4 linked regions of the Cricetulus griseus genome follow. The protein of the gene in region 2 interacts with the protein of the main gene of each other region in a pairwise test. Links are inferred from orthologs where the notes say so. Each region holds a gene or a part of one and is shown on either strand. Other genes may lie near its edges. The genes, in order: Cinp, Fbf1, Tubgcp4 and Accs.

Evidence for each region.
Region 1: the proteins of Fbf1 (region 2) and Cinp interact in binary tests that used the Homo sapiens proteins (3 or more experiments, as listed by UniProt). The two-hybrid records come from large-scale screens. The link is inferred for Cricetulus griseus from reciprocal best matches to the Homo sapiens genes FBF1 and CINP.
Region 3: the proteins of Fbf1 (region 2) and Tubgcp4 interact in a two-hybrid assay, tested with the Homo sapiens proteins (2 studies listed by BioGRID and IntAct). The two-hybrid records come from large-scale screens. The link is inferred for Cricetulus griseus from reciprocal best matches to the Homo sapiens genes FBF1 and TUBGCP4.
Region 4: the proteins of Fbf1 (region 2) and Accs interact in a two-hybrid assay, tested with the Homo sapiens proteins (2 studies listed by BioGRID and IntAct). The two-hybrid records come from large-scale screens. The link is inferred for Cricetulus griseus from reciprocal best matches to the Homo sapiens genes FBF1 and ACCS.

The regions. Positions count from the first base shown.
Region 1 is NC_048598.1:183,142,095-183,145,655, reverse strand, and holds part of Cinp (cyclin-dependent kinase 2-interacting protein), read right to left. Parts: intron 2,532-3,561; coding exon 2,402-2,531; intron 160-2,401; coding exon 30-159; intron 1-29. UniProt on the Homo sapiens protein: Component of the DNA replication complex, which interacts with two kinases, CDK2 and CDC7, thereby providing a functional and physical link between CDK2 and CDC7 during firing of the origins of replication.
Region 2 is NC_048600.1:128,748,497-128,752,802, forward strand, and holds the start of Fbf1 (fas-binding factor 1), read right to left. Parts: upstream 2,847-4,306; 5' UTR 2,601-2,846; coding exon 2,301-2,600; intron 1,758-2,300; exon of another isoform or gene 1,671-1,757; coding exon of another isoform or gene 1,572-1,670; intron 451-1,571; exon of another isoform or gene 371-450; coding exon of another isoform or gene 368-370; intron 1-367. UniProt on the Homo sapiens protein: Keratin-binding protein required for epithelial cell polarization. Involved in apical junction complex (AJC) assembly via its interaction with PARD3. Required for ciliogenesis.
Region 3 is NC_048599.1:57,258,887-57,262,939, forward strand, and holds the start of Tubgcp4 (gamma-tubulin complex component 4), read right to left. Parts: upstream 2,854-4,053; 5' UTR 2,717-2,853; coding exon 2,639-2,716; intron 1-2,638. UniProt on the Homo sapiens protein: Component of the gamma-tubulin ring complex (gTuRC) which mediates microtubule nucleation.
Region 4 is NC_048599.1:82,875,663-82,879,666, forward strand, and holds the start of Accs (1-aminocyclopropane-1-carboxylate synthase-like protein 1), read left to right. Parts: upstream 1-1,201; coding exon 1,202-1,492; intron 1,493-3,722; coding exon 3,723-3,782; intron 3,783-4,004. UniProt on the Homo sapiens protein: Does not catalyze the synthesis of 1-aminocyclopropane-1-carboxylate but is capable of catalyzing the deamination of L-vinylglycine.

The sequences.
Region 1 (3,561 bases), on a different chromosome or scaffold from region 2:
TCAAAACCACCTCTAGAAGAGCTACTTACAAAAGAAAGCCGTGGGCCATGTGTGGAACAGAAGGGGCCGGTTACTTTCTTCCCTGTAATGATAATTTTCTAGTTCACAAATTCCTTTGGTGGTTGAAGACAGCTTTTCCATTTTCATTTGTATTTTAGTCTGAAAAAGGTATTAATTTGGAATATGAGAATACTGCTTAGAATTTCTAATTTCAGATATAATAACTATGAAAGATTTGAATACTACGATATATAGTCCTGGTGGGGTTAAAATTCCAGTAACTCGCCCCATCACCTCCAGACAGCAGATTTCTATGTGTGTGTAGGGGGGCATGTGGTTGCTGTGGTTTCATTTCTTTGCATTACTTTGGCACTAAGCTCTGGATTTTCAAAGCCTCAGAGAGAAGAAAGCTTGCCGAGTCCCATCTCAGTAGGATTTCTAAGCAGCACTAGTGTTTTAGCTCCAAAGACCTGGAGGAATCCTAGAGTGGGCCACTGTTCCGAGTGAGACAGGCAGAAAGGCACTCAGTGAATGTCTTTCTTTCTGACGGTCTTTTATGGACTGCCTTAGAGTTCACTGCAGCCTCTGTGGGCCTCCTGTCCACACAGAAGAGCACAATGAGAACTCGAAACCCACAGATCTCCCTCCCTCTGCAATGGTGTCCTCTATCAGCTCCCAGGAGCAAACACCAGCACCGCCTACACGGTGACAAAGGATGACCAGCAGTGAAGCACCTGCTTAGTTATGAGTGACCATTACGATAAACAGAATTAACTGGGGTGGTAGATTTAGGTAGCAAAGGTTTATTAAAAATGTCTAACTCCTGAGTATAGTTAACTATGGTGTGTCTTGGGGGGGGGTGGGATAAAAGAAATATACAGTATCAAAACCGTAAGTCCTTGTACTTGGTCCTCCTAACTATCCATCCCTGGTTTAAGTGGCACACACTAAATTTAGCAACTGTTAATCTTAAAAGGTCTCGCTTCCTTCTCAAATAATTTTAGGTTCAATATTTCATTTGGCTTAACCGCCATCATTTCCAATTGCTGATGGGAAGGTTCTCAAGGTTGAGGTGGGGAAGCAGGGCCAGGACAGGGTCTGTGCTTTCTGAACCCATGGCTGTGAACAAAAGTCTGCACACCCTGGCACCTTCCCGACCCCTCCTAATTCTAGAAAAGCTTAGAAGGATTCAAGGAGGAAAATCTGGAGGCCCTAGCCTGTCATACCTGCAGTCGGCCACCAACAGAGACAAAGTCACATCTGTCTGTGCTTTGTTGAGCTGACAATGTAAGCACAGCCTATACTCACCCACCAGCATCTGTAGTGTCTCCCCACAGTAACATAGACCACAGCTTAGGGGAAAGGCTGCATTGCCCCCCCCCCCCCAGGAAGAGACATGTAAAGCCAAACCTCTGTAATGGCTGGGGAAACATGAAAAGCAACATTCACCTCCAAACCCAATTTCTGGGTTTGAACACTGAATGAGAATACATTTCTAAAACAGTTTTAAGACAGATTCAAGCAAACAGGTGATGGCGCCAGCCTTTAATCCCAGCACTTGGGAGGCAGGCGATCTCTGTGAGTTTAAGGCAGCCTGGTCTACAGAGCGAGTGCCAGGACAGCCAGAGCTACACAGAGAAACCCTGTCTCGGAAAACCAAAAGGTTCAGGGTCACCAGAGCAGAGAGCTTCTAACCAATGGCTAGCACACACAGCTTTCTTTCTCTAGTAAGATTTATTTCATCATTTGTGTGGGCAGGTGCCTATGGAGGCCACAACTGGGTACTGGATTCCCTGGAGCTGGAGTTAGAGACAGTTGTGAGCAGCAAGTACTCTCAACACTTGAAACCTCTCTGTAGCCTCAGAGCTAACAGGTTTCTAACAGGACTTTCCTGGGCCCCTTGGGGAAAAAAAGGCTGACTCTGGGACAGAGGCAGGAAATGTGCAAAGCCAGCCCAGAACAGCTTTCAATGCTAGTCAGTAAAGAAATGTCAAAAATTCCCAAAGCAGAACATTACTATGAAGAGTACTTTAGGCAGAACTCCCAATGTCAGAGTGCAAACAATCTGAACAAGAAATACAGTTAATTTGGATCACAACCTGAAGAATGGTATGTCTGGTGTTGTGTGGCAGTATGGAAAAGTCACTATGACACAGATGGTCTGGCCCTCAAAGCCTAAATATTTACTTGATGGGCCCTTGAGGTGGTTGAAACTGCCCAGGACAATGTACCAGACAGCATCTTAGGAGCATCAGGATTTGTTAGGTAGGTGGAAAAAGGCTAAGGAGAGAAAGGGTCTTTGGCAGTTTTGAATGCCCCCATTGTCAAGCAAACCCCAAATGGTGCCACTGGGTTTGAGTGACAGTGATGTAGATGACCGGCACTGTTAGTTAGGTCTTACCAAGCCATCCAAGGTGGCCTGCAGCTGCTCACACAGTGCTTCAAGCTCCTCACTGTAGTCCTGACTCGTCTTTTCTTCCTTCTCACTGGAAGCGGGGCTGCTGCTCTCTAATTCAACCTTCTCTTTACTCCTGGACAAAGCAGAAAACAATGGGTGCAAATGACACACTTTAAACTCACCTCATGCTTGTTGACAGGGCTTGAAGAGGAGGAGTTCACAGTCAGCCTGGCTAGTCAATGAGCCCCTGCCTCAAAAAAAGAAAACAAAACAAAAAGGCGTGGGGATCCCTTTACCTCATTCTGTTATAATGAATCCTATAAAAGCCACCACCCACATAATCACGGTAGACATTTGACATGCATATTGCAAATGTCATTATAGTAGATGCTTATTCACACACACCGCGGGCACATCCATTGGTTGGGACAGAACTGAGGGCCTCCAGTGTGCTGCAAATGCTCTACTGCTAAGCTAGACCCCAGCCCTGGCCACTCAACTCGGTACTGGGGGAAGGCAGGTCTAGCCACGAGGCATCCTTGGTGTAGGGCTTAATGCTGCTTGCACAAAGATGCATAAGATGCGGGTAGTTTCCTGAAGGAGTCAAGGGTTGGCGAATGGTTCTTAAACTGAAGTCTGCGATCCATACGTTGTGGACACTGAAGGCTTGGTTTTTCAGTCTCTGGTGCTGTTAGTTGGAGGTGCAACCATTAAGGGAGGCTTCTATCTGTGTGAGGGCATACCCTTCATAGGATTTTGGGATCCCAGTATCTTCTTTCTGGTCCTGGCCATGAGCATCCACTGTGATGTATGCTACCTTGCCACGGTGCATACGAAACCAGGTGTTAGCCTCTGGTGTTCCTAAGGAGTCATCCACCTTGTTTGTTTCTTTGTTTTGAGACAGGGTTTCTCTGTGTAACAACCCTATCTGTGCTGGAACTCACTCTATAGAGCAGGCTGACTTCAAACTCATAGAGAGGGCAGGAGAGATGGCTCAGCGGTTAAAAGCACTGACTGTTCTTCCAGAGGACCTGAGTTCAATTCCCAGCAAACAAACTCATAGAGAGAGCCGCCTGCTTCTGCCTCCCAAGTGCTAGGATGAAAGGCATGAGCCACCATGCCTGGCCACCATCGACATTTTTGAAGACATGCTTTCTAATCAC
Region 2 (4,306 bases):
ACAACTAAAACAGAGGCTCAAGGGAAACTTTGTTCACTGTTTAATTTTTTGGGGGGAGGTGCTAGGAAGGGTCTCTCTCTGTGCAGTCCTGACTGGCCTGGAGTTTGCTATATTAAACAGGCTGGCCTGAAATTCACAGAGATCCACCTGTCTCTGCCTCCAGGTGCCAGGATAAAAGGTCCAGCTCCATGCTTACGTTTGTTTGTTTGTTTTGTTTTTTTCTTATGCTACTCTGCCATAGAGACTATCTCCTGGTCCTTGCCACAAAACTTCTAGAATACTCTATGCAGTCAAATGTTCAGGGTGCAGGGATGGGCTGGGGGTTGCTGATATTTCCACACATCTTACACTGATGCAATCTGCCTACCATCTTGGGCTTTGGGGGCTTTCTGTATCTCCTTCACAGCACTGTTCAGTCATGTGCACTCTCGCTGAACAAGTTCATCCTCCCTAGTAGAGAAAATTAAAGTAGCTGCTTAAGAGATGGCTCAGAAGCAAAGAGCACAACCTGTTCTTGCAGAGGACCTGAGTTGAGTTCTCAGCACCTGTGGGTAGCTCACAACCTCCTGTAACTCCAGCTCCAGGGGGTTCCAAGCCTCTGGCCTTCATGGACACCTGTACCCATATACACTTACATACGAGTTCATATAGTTAAAAATTAAAAATCTTTTTTAATTTAAGTAAATTTTTAAAAATATGTAGTTTAGCTCAACATGGTGACCTCATCCTGAAATATCATAATTTGGGAAAGGGAGGTAGAAAAATCAGGAGCTCAAAGTCATCCTCAGCTACATAACAAATTTAAGGCCAGCCTGGGCTAAGTAAGTCTCAAAAAAACAAACAAACAAAAAACCCAAAACAAGGACTTGAGAGAAGGCTCGGTGGTTATGAGCAGTGGCTGCTCTTCCAGAGGACCTGAATTCAGTTCCAAGCAACCACACGGTGGCTCACAATGAGATCTGGTGCCCTCTCCTGGCCTGCAGGGATAATGCAGACAGAACACTATACATAATAAATAAATCTTACCAAAAAAACACAAAACAAAAAACCTGAAACAATAAATAAATAAAATACAGCAGTTAACAGTGCTTGACTCCAAGCGTGTTAAGAATCCTCTCACCTTAGGAGGTCAAAACCTAGTCATGTGGTGGTGGTTCACACCTTTAATCCCAGCACTCTTGGAAGAGGCAAGAGGATCTCCTGTGAATTCAAGACCAGCATGGTCTACAGAGCAAGTTCCAGCAGAGCCAGGAATAGGCTCACACCCATTTCTGTAAGTTCAGAACTTGTGAACTGGAAGCTGCTCGGTGAATGAAGGTGTGTTTGCCAACATGCCTGACTACATGAGTGGGACCTCAGAACACACGAGACGGAGGGAGAAAACTGACTTCTGCAGGGTTTCCTTTACCTCCATGCACATGTGTGTCCCACCCCCAAATAAATAAGTGCAACTAAAAAATAATAATAATAAAAAAGAATTTCAGAGCTTAGCTTCAATTCCAGAACTTGGAGGGCTGCAACAGAAAGAGCTATTTAACAAGGCCTTCGTCAAGAAAGAAAAAGCTAGGGACCTGAAGCCTTGGCCATTTGGGGCACTTGTTGCTCTTCCTCAGGAGCCAGGTTGGGTTCTCAGTACCTACATGGTGGCTCACAACCTGTGTAACTCCCATGGGCACAGGAGGGACAAATGGGTCTGATGCCCTCTTCTGGCCTCCCAGAGTATTTCATGCATGTGGCACTCTTACATGCAAACACCCCTACACATAAAAAAGAAGAAAAAGTTAAGTAGGCATAGTGGTTCATACTTGTAATCCCAGCACGGAGGGGGGGGGGCGAAGCAGGATTGCTATGAATTAGGGGCCAGTTTTGACTATATTGTGATTTTTTTTTAAGGCTAGGGTGAGCGCCTGCCTCAAGAAACAGATTGTGGGGGGGTGGGGAGAGGCACAGAGATTACATGAAAAAGAGAAGGAGACTATGAGAAAAAGAGAATATATGAAGAAAGCGAGATAATGGGAATTCCCAATTCACTTATTGGGCTTTTCTTGGCTTAGAGAGTACTTGGAAAAAGCGGTCCCCATCCTTTACTCTGGGAGAGGATGCTGAAATGGCAAAGAACCATGTGGGAGGGGCAACCACATCCCGGCCCGTTTTACCAAGAATCTCTGCCGAGAATCTGTAGGCAGCATCCAGCATTGTAAGTGTGAGAGTGAGCCCTGGATTCTCCTTTCACAGACGGCGGGCAGCTCGCCCTGGGAACAGATCTTTCTAGCACTGCCTCTCCCACTCCCCGAACCCACCTTCGCATGCCTAGGAAGAAAGGCGGCCGCGGCCCTCATCTGTCTTCCCGGTGTATCTAGCCTCTTACCACAGTGCACAGTGTTTCTGGGGTTGAGGACGCAGGGGGGGTGCTTGTGTTTCTCCCGCGCAATGGCAACTGCAGCGACCTGCAAGTCCAAAGGCCTTTGGCTTGTGTCACGCCAAGGATCCTCCGGATCTCCTAAGCATCCCGTGGCGGCTTCCCGGGGGGTGCGGCGTTTTCTAGGAGCGGCTTGTGAGGGCCCACGGGTGCGAGAAGAACGTCGAGTCTTCACACCCATTCACCCAGCTCCTCCGAGCCATTTTAAACCTCGCGAGCCCGCCCCTCAGCCGCAGCGCTTCCGGGAGTGTGGCGCCAGGCCGGGCACGGAGCCCCTCAAGGTTCCATCCCCCGCGCGCCCATCCCGTGCTCCTCCCAGCCCCCGAGGGCCCTGTTTCGAGCCGTCCTTTCACAAACACGGCCACGGGAACCCAACCCAACCGGAGACCCGGATTCCGATTCCACTCAGTCCGCCCGTTTCCGCCAGGCCTACCACCTGGGCGCCGGCGACATTCCCACCTCGCCGCCTCCGGCCTCAACTAGAAGGCGAAGTGAAGCATTCTAGGTACTGTAGTCCGCGGCCCGCTCCCTTGCGGGCCGAACCCCAGGAGGTGCCGGGAAGAACTACATTTCCCAGCGTGCCCCGCGGCGGGGCGCTTCTCCCGGCTGGAAGTCCGTTGCTAGGAGCTGTTTCAATGCCACTCTAGTGAGGGGCAGGGAAAGCATCCTCGGAGCGTGTGCAAGCTGGTTCCTCGAGCTCTGAGGACTGAGTGGTGACTGTAACCTTCGTGGTCAATGAAGAGGTCAAAGCTGCGCTATCAGAAAACCCAAAACCATCAACAGAGGCACACAGTGGACGCGCCACGCCCGGAATCCCAGCATCTGTAAAGCCCAGACTGATCCAAAACTGCATTTCCTAGGTCAAAACCGGCTGTGGCAGAAATTTGCAGCCAGCTACATAATAGTATCTCAGAACTACACTTAACGCATTTTCTTGGCTGTACTTATTACAGCTTTTTAAAGAGATAGTGTACAGCGGCTCGGAAGGGATGCACAGGGATTCTGGCAGTCGAGAGCCACAGCTCGGATGGAAAGGTATCCTGGCACTCGGGAGCCAAGGAATACCACAGGTCAGCGTAGCAGCTTGCAGCCCTGCTCCGGGGAAAGGCTTCCCCAGTTTTACAGCTCTGCTCTGGCAGGGGAGGGAAGAGGAGGGCTTCCCCAGAGAAGTTGTTACAGTTAGGCTCGGTCCTCCTGAGTGTAACAAGTCGGCAGGCACAGGGTTTATATGGGGTTTCTTAAGGGTGGAGTTTTTCCAGGGTGGGGATTGGTCAGATTTCAATCCCTGAGCTCAGATTGGCTAGATCTTCTGCCCAGGGGTTGGTTGGTTTTCTGCACAGGTTCAGGGTCCGATTTGGCTCTGGTTTCAGGGCCAAAGTCTGTTTCTTTCACTGGTCCTTTTTAGCCTTTTGGCTCTAATTTTAGGGCCAGGATGTATTTCTTTCACTGGCTCTGATTCCAGAGACAAAGTGTGTTTCTTTGGCACTGGTTTCAGGGCCAGGGTGCATTTCTTTGGTTCTGGTTTCAGGGCCAAATGTGTTTCTTGGCCACTGCTCAAGGTGTGTTTCTTTGGCTGACCCCTTTTCCCTAAACAGGGTCTCACTATGTAGCTCTGTCTGTTCTGGAACTATATAAACCAGGCTGGCCCTGAATTCACAGAGATCCCCATGTGTCTGCCATTCAAGAGGCATGATTAAAGGCCTGGGCCACCACACCCACCCCATTACACATTTAGACGTAAGATTTTATTAAAGCGTTGGCAGGTCATTGGTGTCCAGCCATAATTTGCTAGCTGTGGTCCTGGACAACAACCTCCTGTCCCGTTTCTACAGGGCTAGGTAGTAACACGTGCTGAAGGCTATTGTCAGGAACTAAAGATTACAAGTC
Region 3 (4,053 bases), on a different chromosome or scaffold from region 2:
TAGCTCCATGCAGGCATATATTCAATGTAACAGTTAAATGACTCTCATAAACTTTGAGTAGTCACGATGGTTCTTTTTAATCAAATGTGAAAATACTGTTCTATGGAAAGCATATAGTATTTGCTGTTTTTGTCTTTTTCCACAAATAGATGAACATCTACTATGGGGCAGACACCGCTAAGTGCTCTGGGTAAATGGAAATCTCTACAGAAGAAGCAGTGTAGACAGGTGACAGCAATAACAAGTGATGAACTAATTCTTCAAAGTCTGAGAAAGGAAACAAATAGCAGTTATAAAGAAGAAAGGCACAAGAGAAGAATACTGAAAGGGTGACCACAAAACTCTTCCGAGGCCTTAGGAATGAAAGGATGAAAATGTCTGCTTCAAACCTTTATAACAAAGTCAAGAGAAGATGAAATATTTGTGGCTCTTGCTGCAGCCTTCCCAGCCGTCTCTGCCATGCCCTGGGTATCATTTGCTTTTATTTCAAATGTCAGTCAAGCACCCACAAATGCTGTGCATTTTCCCCCCTCCATGATTGGCAGTGTGTCAGTCTTCAAAGACATACACACAAAAATTGTAAAAGCACACACTTCTAAATCCCAAATTCACACCCATAAGGGATAACAGAAATCTGTTCAATTTGTTTTATGGATGAAGAAAGGACCTTTCTGATCCTCCAAGGCCTATACTGACAGTGCTCCTATGAACAGACACCACACTGTGATCAGATCTTAATTCCTAGGACTGCCACAAGTCTGCACAAAGTTCTCCAAGCTTCAGTTTTATGCACTCATAAGCTGGGACGAGCAATACTGAAGTTACTAGGTGTAAGGATTCAGGCATTATGCTGGCCTGACCCTGTCACCTGGCAGAATGCACTCGGGCAGTACTCTGGTCAGCCCAGGGTTCCATAAGTACTAGTCTGATTGCAGGTGCAAAGCACCCCCTTAAAAGTCAGACTCCTGCCCACTTAAGCTCTCTTTGCCCCCTCCCCCCTTTCTCTTTCTGCTCTTTTCCAGCTCTCTTCCCACTCTCTCTTCCTACTGTTCCTCTGGGCAGACAGGAATTTTCCTGCCTCCCATTTCTCTTCTATCCTCTCTCTGTCTCTGTGTCTTTTTACCTCTTTTCTCTTTCCTTCCTTCTCCCTTCCCTTTCTAATAAAACCTCTCACTTAAGTTCTCTGTCTGCCTGGCTTGTTTGTCCCTCCGCCTCCGTCACCCTCGCCTGCCATGGAACCCGCCATGGTCCCCCACGAAAGGACCCCTCAGGCTTTATCATAACAGTAGGTAACTGAGAGCACCAGGCATCATTACTGGAAGCTGAATACGCTAACAGTTCTGACAGTGGAATAAGACAGACCTGTGTTCAGTTCTAAGCTATACAAACCAGGAGGTGGTGGCTAACACCTTTAATCCCAAAGTTTGGGAGGCAGAGGCTGGTGGATTTCTGTGAGTTCGAGGCCAGCCTAGTCTACACAGCAAGTTCCAAGACAAGCTCCAAAGCTACAGAGGAACCCTGTCTCGAAAAAAACACAAAAAAAGTAAGCTATACTAATGAATAGTTAAGTGACGCTGGGAGTTAACTTTCTGAACTAGATTGCTGTGAGGATTCGATGACATATAATGAACACTGCACTACAGTCACACTATCCTGGTCCTAGTTAGGTTTCTGTTGCTGTGACAAAAGAGCAAAGTGTTTATTTCAGTTTACAGTTCTTCATGAAGGCCGAATCCCCAATCCTCATGCCTAATTATTCAACAGTCTGATTAGAAAATGGTATTCTGATTTCCTTAGATTGGCACGATTAACGCTGTTTTACTGTTTTATCAAACGCATAAAGTAGCCACAGTTACATACAGTTCCGGGGGGAAGGCCATTCTCCTGTCATAGAAGAGAAACAGTGGAGGAAAGCTGTTTACTAGCTCGCTCCACCTGACAGGCAGAGCCGGCTTTCTTATACATATGGAGACCACCTGCTGAGGGACTCGGCCTGCACTGGGCCCTTCCACAGCAGTCGCGAATTAAGAACTTGCAGTACAGGCTTGCCCACAGCCAATATGACGGGCATTTTCTCAGCTAAGTTTCCCTCTTCTCAGGAAACTCTAGCTTCTGTCAAGTTAGAAATGGAGGGAAGGATGGAGAGAAGAACGAACTAATCAACACATTCCTCTCATACTTTTCTGATTACAGAAAAAGCTCTTTCAAGTTCTTAACCTGGTACAGAAATTTCCGAGGAAAGGAGGGAAACGCCAAATTCATTTTTTTTATCTAACACAATTTACTGAGTGTTTATAGTGTTTTGAGCTCTGTGTACATATTTCCACAAGTCAGTTTGAAAATAATGCAAGCGTGAATACACAGGGGTACCCTACTCCCTTTTTAAATAATAAACTATCATCTAATTCCAGATACACATTTAGGGATTCACAGTTTAACAGTAACTTTATATGCAGTAAAAAGAAGTACAGTTCTACCCACTCTCAGTGGCTCCCTAGCCCGGGTCCCCCCTCAAAGCCGGAGCTATGTCGGGTTGCCCTCGGCTTCTCACGGCTCGCGGGCTCAGTCATTCGGCGTCCCCCCCGCGTCCCGCCCCTCCGCTGCGCTGCAGCGTCCCAGCCTCAGACCCGCTCCGTACCTGCAGGCCACTCCGCTTGTTCCAAGTGAAAATGGATCCTGGGTACCCACTCAGAGCCAAGAGCAATTCGTGAATCATTTCTGGGGCGGCCTCGGAGCTCCCAGACCTACCGCCTTCTCTTTGAGCGCCTCTGCGGGCGTCCACTCACACCCAAACGAGTCGCTCGCCCAGAAACCCCGCAGACCAGCGCGCGCGGGGCCGTCACGGCGCCGCGCGCCGCGTCCCGGAAGTGCGCGCGGCTCAGAGGCGCCCACCCGCTCGCTCCCGCCGCGGAGCGCAGAGGAGGCGCCAGAGGTGCCATCGCGCATGCGTCTCGGGTGCCCGGAGTGGCCCGCTCGGACTTCCGGCTCCAGAGCCGGACTGGGGCTCCTGCTGGGCAAGACTGGTCTTAGCCGGGCCGGAATGGCTGAGGCCGGCCCGGGGACAGGGATAAGAGTGACTTGACAGGCAGGTGGAGACGCGGCCACCGGTGGGCCGGAGGGAGTCCTCAGGACGCCTTGGCAGAGTGTGTGGCGTTTTGACCGACTGCACGACGTCTCCCAGAGTGACCCGGCCGGAGGGGACAAAGAGGCCGGAACTTGGCAGGCGCCGCTGTGGAGCAGCGCTCGGAGCCCATTTTGAGCTCGCAGCACTGGCCAGCACTGGCTTCGGTCTCGGGAGACCCACTACTTGCCTCCTCTCAGGCTCCCTCGCTTCACCAACTCCTGTGACTCTTCCCCAAGCCCAGTTGAGTTTAGAAGCCCAAGTCAGCTTCCCCGGTGCGTGAATTTCCCATCTGTGTCTCCCGAACTCTTGCTGAGTTCTTACTTTGTCTGGGAGGGGTAAACAGGAGACCCAACATTCAGCACTTGACTTGGGTTCTGCCTGGAAAATCTTACTTTGGCGTTCAAGGGGGCGGGGCTGACAGCAGGGGCTCTGGGGAAGATTAGCGGCCACCCGCTAGTCAGGCTTTTGTGGTCTTCAGCCAAATGTTGACTTACCTTTAGAGTCCATCAGATGTCCCATGCGGTTCGAATTCACTCTACAACTTTGATCTGGGGCGCTAAATGCGATCAGATTTATTTAGGTGAGGTGAGCGTGAAGCAGATGGGATTTTCTATTACCTGCGACTTCTGGGAATGCTCCAGTCACCACCCAGAAATGGAGCTTTTTGAAAGGTCATTTTCTCCTTGCTCATTGATTTGCTGTCCTGAAGCGGCACTACCTCAGAAGACCACTTGGAGCATATGGGAAGTCAAGCCGCCTCTGGCAAGACTTTTAAACATGTGAAGATATTTCCATTTCTCTTTAGGAAGAAACTCCTTTTTACAGAGAGACTCATCTGCAGATGTTTCTGTAAGGACATGGGGAGATAGCGAACTAAGTCTGGAACCCAGACACTAAAAGGAGAGACTGCTTTTAGCTGTGAAGGATGG
Region 4 (4,004 bases), on a different chromosome or scaffold from region 2:
TGACCTGGGCTGTCGTGTTGAGGAGGCCCCCTAGATTTACAAAGCAAATTTGAACTGCGGGCCGGGCCGTCGTGCCCCCTCTCCCCCCGCGCGCCAGTCTACCATCAGCCGTCCTTTCTACCAAGTAAGACTTGTACCTTAAGCCAGGGAAGTCAGAGAGCGTTTGTGATAGAGTGACTCATATTTCAGACATTTGGCCACCAGCCAGGATTTGGTATGAGTGCTTTATCACCTTCGGATCCTCACTGTTGCCTTTGAGGTGGGTTTTGGTTCCATCAGAGCACAAGTGAGGCACGAATGAGGGCTGCTTAGGAAGCTCTTATGTTGTTGGCAGCTAGGAGACCCTTGCCTCCTTTGTGAGTGGAGTTGGGAGTGCATTTGTGACTCCTACTATCCCCTCCCACTAGTTCCCATCTCCATCAGCTCCAGATCACCTGTTACACAAGAGCACCACAGCAATGATCTGCTTGGGGAAAAGCCTGGTGTTTTGAAATTGAGGTGAGCAAGGGTGGGGGAGAGATCATTGAGTGACCCCCCGAAGCTGCAGAATGAAAGCCAGATGTAGAAATGGAGCAAGCTAAAGCTACAGTAGATTGAAGTTATTTAAATGTAGCATGCAGAGTGTGGTACCCATAGATCCTCAGTAGATTTGTTTGTTGAAGTGTTTCACTCAATAGGGACAAAGGGGATGAACACACAAACTTGCAAAAAGAGGGAGATATCTGTGTGGTAGTCCCAGCTACTCAGGAGGGATACCTTGAGCCCAAGAGTTCAATGCAACTTCAGGGGACAGAGGAGGAGGGGACACTTGCCCTGTTTGTAAAGTGTCCAGTCATTAAAATGTAGTCATAAAGACTACATTTTATCCCCAGAACCCACATAAAAATAGTCAGTTGTGCATCCTCATAATTCCAGAGCTGGGGAGGTGGAGACAGGCAGGTTTCTGGGCCTTACTGGCTACCCAGTCTAACCCAATCTGCAAACACCAGAGTTTAGGGAGAGACCCTGTCTCAAAAAATATGGTGGATAGTTCCTAGAACAACACCAAAGGTTGTTCTTGGGCCTACACATAGACAGACAGACAGACAGACAGACAGACAGACAGACAGACACACACACACACACACACACACACACACACACACACACACACACAAGAGCAGAAGCCCTTCAGCGGGCCTGTGCATTTGTGTTTTGGCAGATGTTCCCTCTTCCTCAGAGGGAATCCACAGCACCGACTGCACCTTCAGGCTCAACCTCTTCTCGGGACATGGACAGTGGCTATGGTGATGATCTGCAAGGAGAATGCCTCAGAAAGCCAGACTGGAAGCAGTCCAAACTCTATGGAGTGGGTGACCCCATGGCCATGTTCTCCTCTGATAGCTCCTGCCTGTCCTCTAGAGGAAGAGTCATCAAATGGTTCTGGGACTCAGCTGAGGAGGGCTACAGAACCTACCACATGGATGAGTTTGATGAGGACAAGAACCCCAGTGTGAGTGAAGACCCCTCCCCACTGGGACCCAAGAGCAAACTAACTGCAGAGCAGCCAGCACCCAGCTTGCTCTTGTCAGGTTGGAGTTATGAACCTTTGGCTCCAAGAGGGCTGGTAATGTCTGCTCTGTAGGTTGTTCATTTCTGAGATGGGCTGGTAATGTCTTCTGTGTAGACAGATCATCTCTGAGATGGGCTTTTATGTCTTCTCTGTAGACAGGTCATCTCTGAGATGGGCTGGTAATGTCTGCTCTGTAGAAATGAGACGAGAAGTGTGAAATTAGTGTTTGTCATATAGGAAACTTGATAAATACAGCTGCTGTTATTATTCATATCATCTGCCACAATAACCATAATCTATTACACATAATAATTTAGCAAAGAACTACACAATAACACTTATTAATAGTTTTGATCTGCTGAGCATCCACCAGGTATCAGCGACTGTTCTAGAGGTACTGGTGTCATACTTTAAATCTTGCCCTATGTATTTATATTTTAGTTGAGATGGACAGGTCAAAAATACATATAACATTTACTGTTAGGCACTGCAGAGAAAATGAAGATAGGGTGAGGTGGACAGAGGATGATGGTCTGCTAGGAAATGTTGCTGTTTGATATAGGATGTCATAGAATGCTATTTTAATCAGGAGACACTAGAACAGAGGCTTGAAAAAAAAAAGTGAGAGGGATTGTGTTAATTACCCATTGCTGTAACAAATCACCCCAAATCTCAGCAGTTTACCTAGCAAATATTTCCCGGTTGCTGGAGCTCAGGACTCCTGGTGGGTGTCTTCAGACCAGGGCTTTCTGTCACAGTACCCTGAAGCTGGTACTGTGATCTCATCTGAAAGCTTGCGGGGTGATGGGACTTGGACAGGTGAGAGGCTCCATCTCCTGGTGGGCACCTGTTCCTCTCCACATGGACTTTTTCCCAGAACTGCCTCAGATATGGCAGCTGCCTCCCTCTAGAGCAGATGACTCCAGGAAGAATGAGAGATCATGAGAACCTAATATGGAAGCCACACACTTTTATGACCCAACCTTAGAAGTGACATCCCATCAGTTTTGCATGTTCTTTTTATCAGGAGCAGTTGGCAGATTCAGTCTCTACCCAGGGTGCCATGGTAGAGGCTACCAGGAGCCATGCAGCTCAGAGGATAGCTGGTACAAAGGCTCCAGGCTGCAACTATGCTGGATCAGATCAAGGGTCAGCAAAGGAACCAGTGGGCTGTGGTAAAGCCAGACTGGTGGGTGATGGGGTCAGAAAGGCTATGGGTATTGTAGGGCCTCATGGGACATGGTGACAGTTCTTTCTGTAGACAGGGGTGGGTAGGAAGTGTTCAGGAGAGGAGCAGTGTGCATGAAGCAATTTCAGTTTTTTTTTTTAAAGACATCTTGGACTTCCATATGAAGACCCAATGACAGGTGAGGGAGTGGACAAGAGAGGAGATGGGAGCTATGGCAGTGATCTGGTCAGGAGCTATGGTGACTTACACTAGGGTCTCAGCAGTGGGGCATGATAAGTGGCTGGCTGAATGGGTTGGCTGTGTCTGGAGGAAACAGAACATTGCCTTTTATTTGTCTTACTCTCCGCTCATTCAAGTTTAGTTGTTTTGTCTTTCCTGCTTCCTTCACTCCCCACATAAGGTAGGGCTCAGGAGTTGTGTCTCCTATTAGGATTAACACCTTATGGGGTGGCAATTGGACATTGTGTCCTGTTAGCTGGGCCTCCTAGGGAATAATTTACACTGACAAGGGGGGTGTCCACTGACCACCCCACCCTTGTATTTGGTCCTAGCAGAGTATAATTTATAGTATGCAGGTTTTTTTTTTCATTCTATAAATGTTTCTGGAGAGACACAGTGGTGTCTGGGGCATGAATTTGCCTTCAGGGATCTAGCTATCATCAGAGAGAGCTCTACCCTGATCCTTGTGCCATGGAGCAGAAATTGAGTGGTTTTCTAAGGGCAGGGGAGTGGTGGAAAGAGACGAGTGGGACTCCAAGACTCAAAGAGTCCTTCCCAGTGGGGCTTGGGGGAAGGTTTCTTGCTGGAGGTGGTATTTAGACAGTGTTGGAAATGGCAGATGGGATTTTGGAGCCCAATGAGAAAAGACAAAGAGGGTGGTGGGAGGGTAGACTGGTGCCCACTTTGTTGTCTGTGGGTTCCCCAGGCTGTTTGTTGGCATTCCTTTGTCATGTTCACCCTGCCTCTACACTTTGTCTTCAGGGCATCATTAACTTGGGCACCAGTGAGAACAAACTCTGCTTTGACCTTCTGTCTAGGCGGGTGAGTAGTGGGACTGCAATCACCAGGGGCTTCTTGAATCCTTTGCCACAGTAGCTTGCAGCATGCCTCAGGAGCCCTGATGTAAGAGCTGGGAGACATGGATTCCAGGTCTGCCTTGGGAACAACTCTGCTTCCCCTCCCCTCCCCTTTCTCTCCCTATTCCCTTTCTCTCCCCTCTCCTTTCTCTCCCCTTCCCTTTCTCTCCCTATTCCCTTTCTCTCC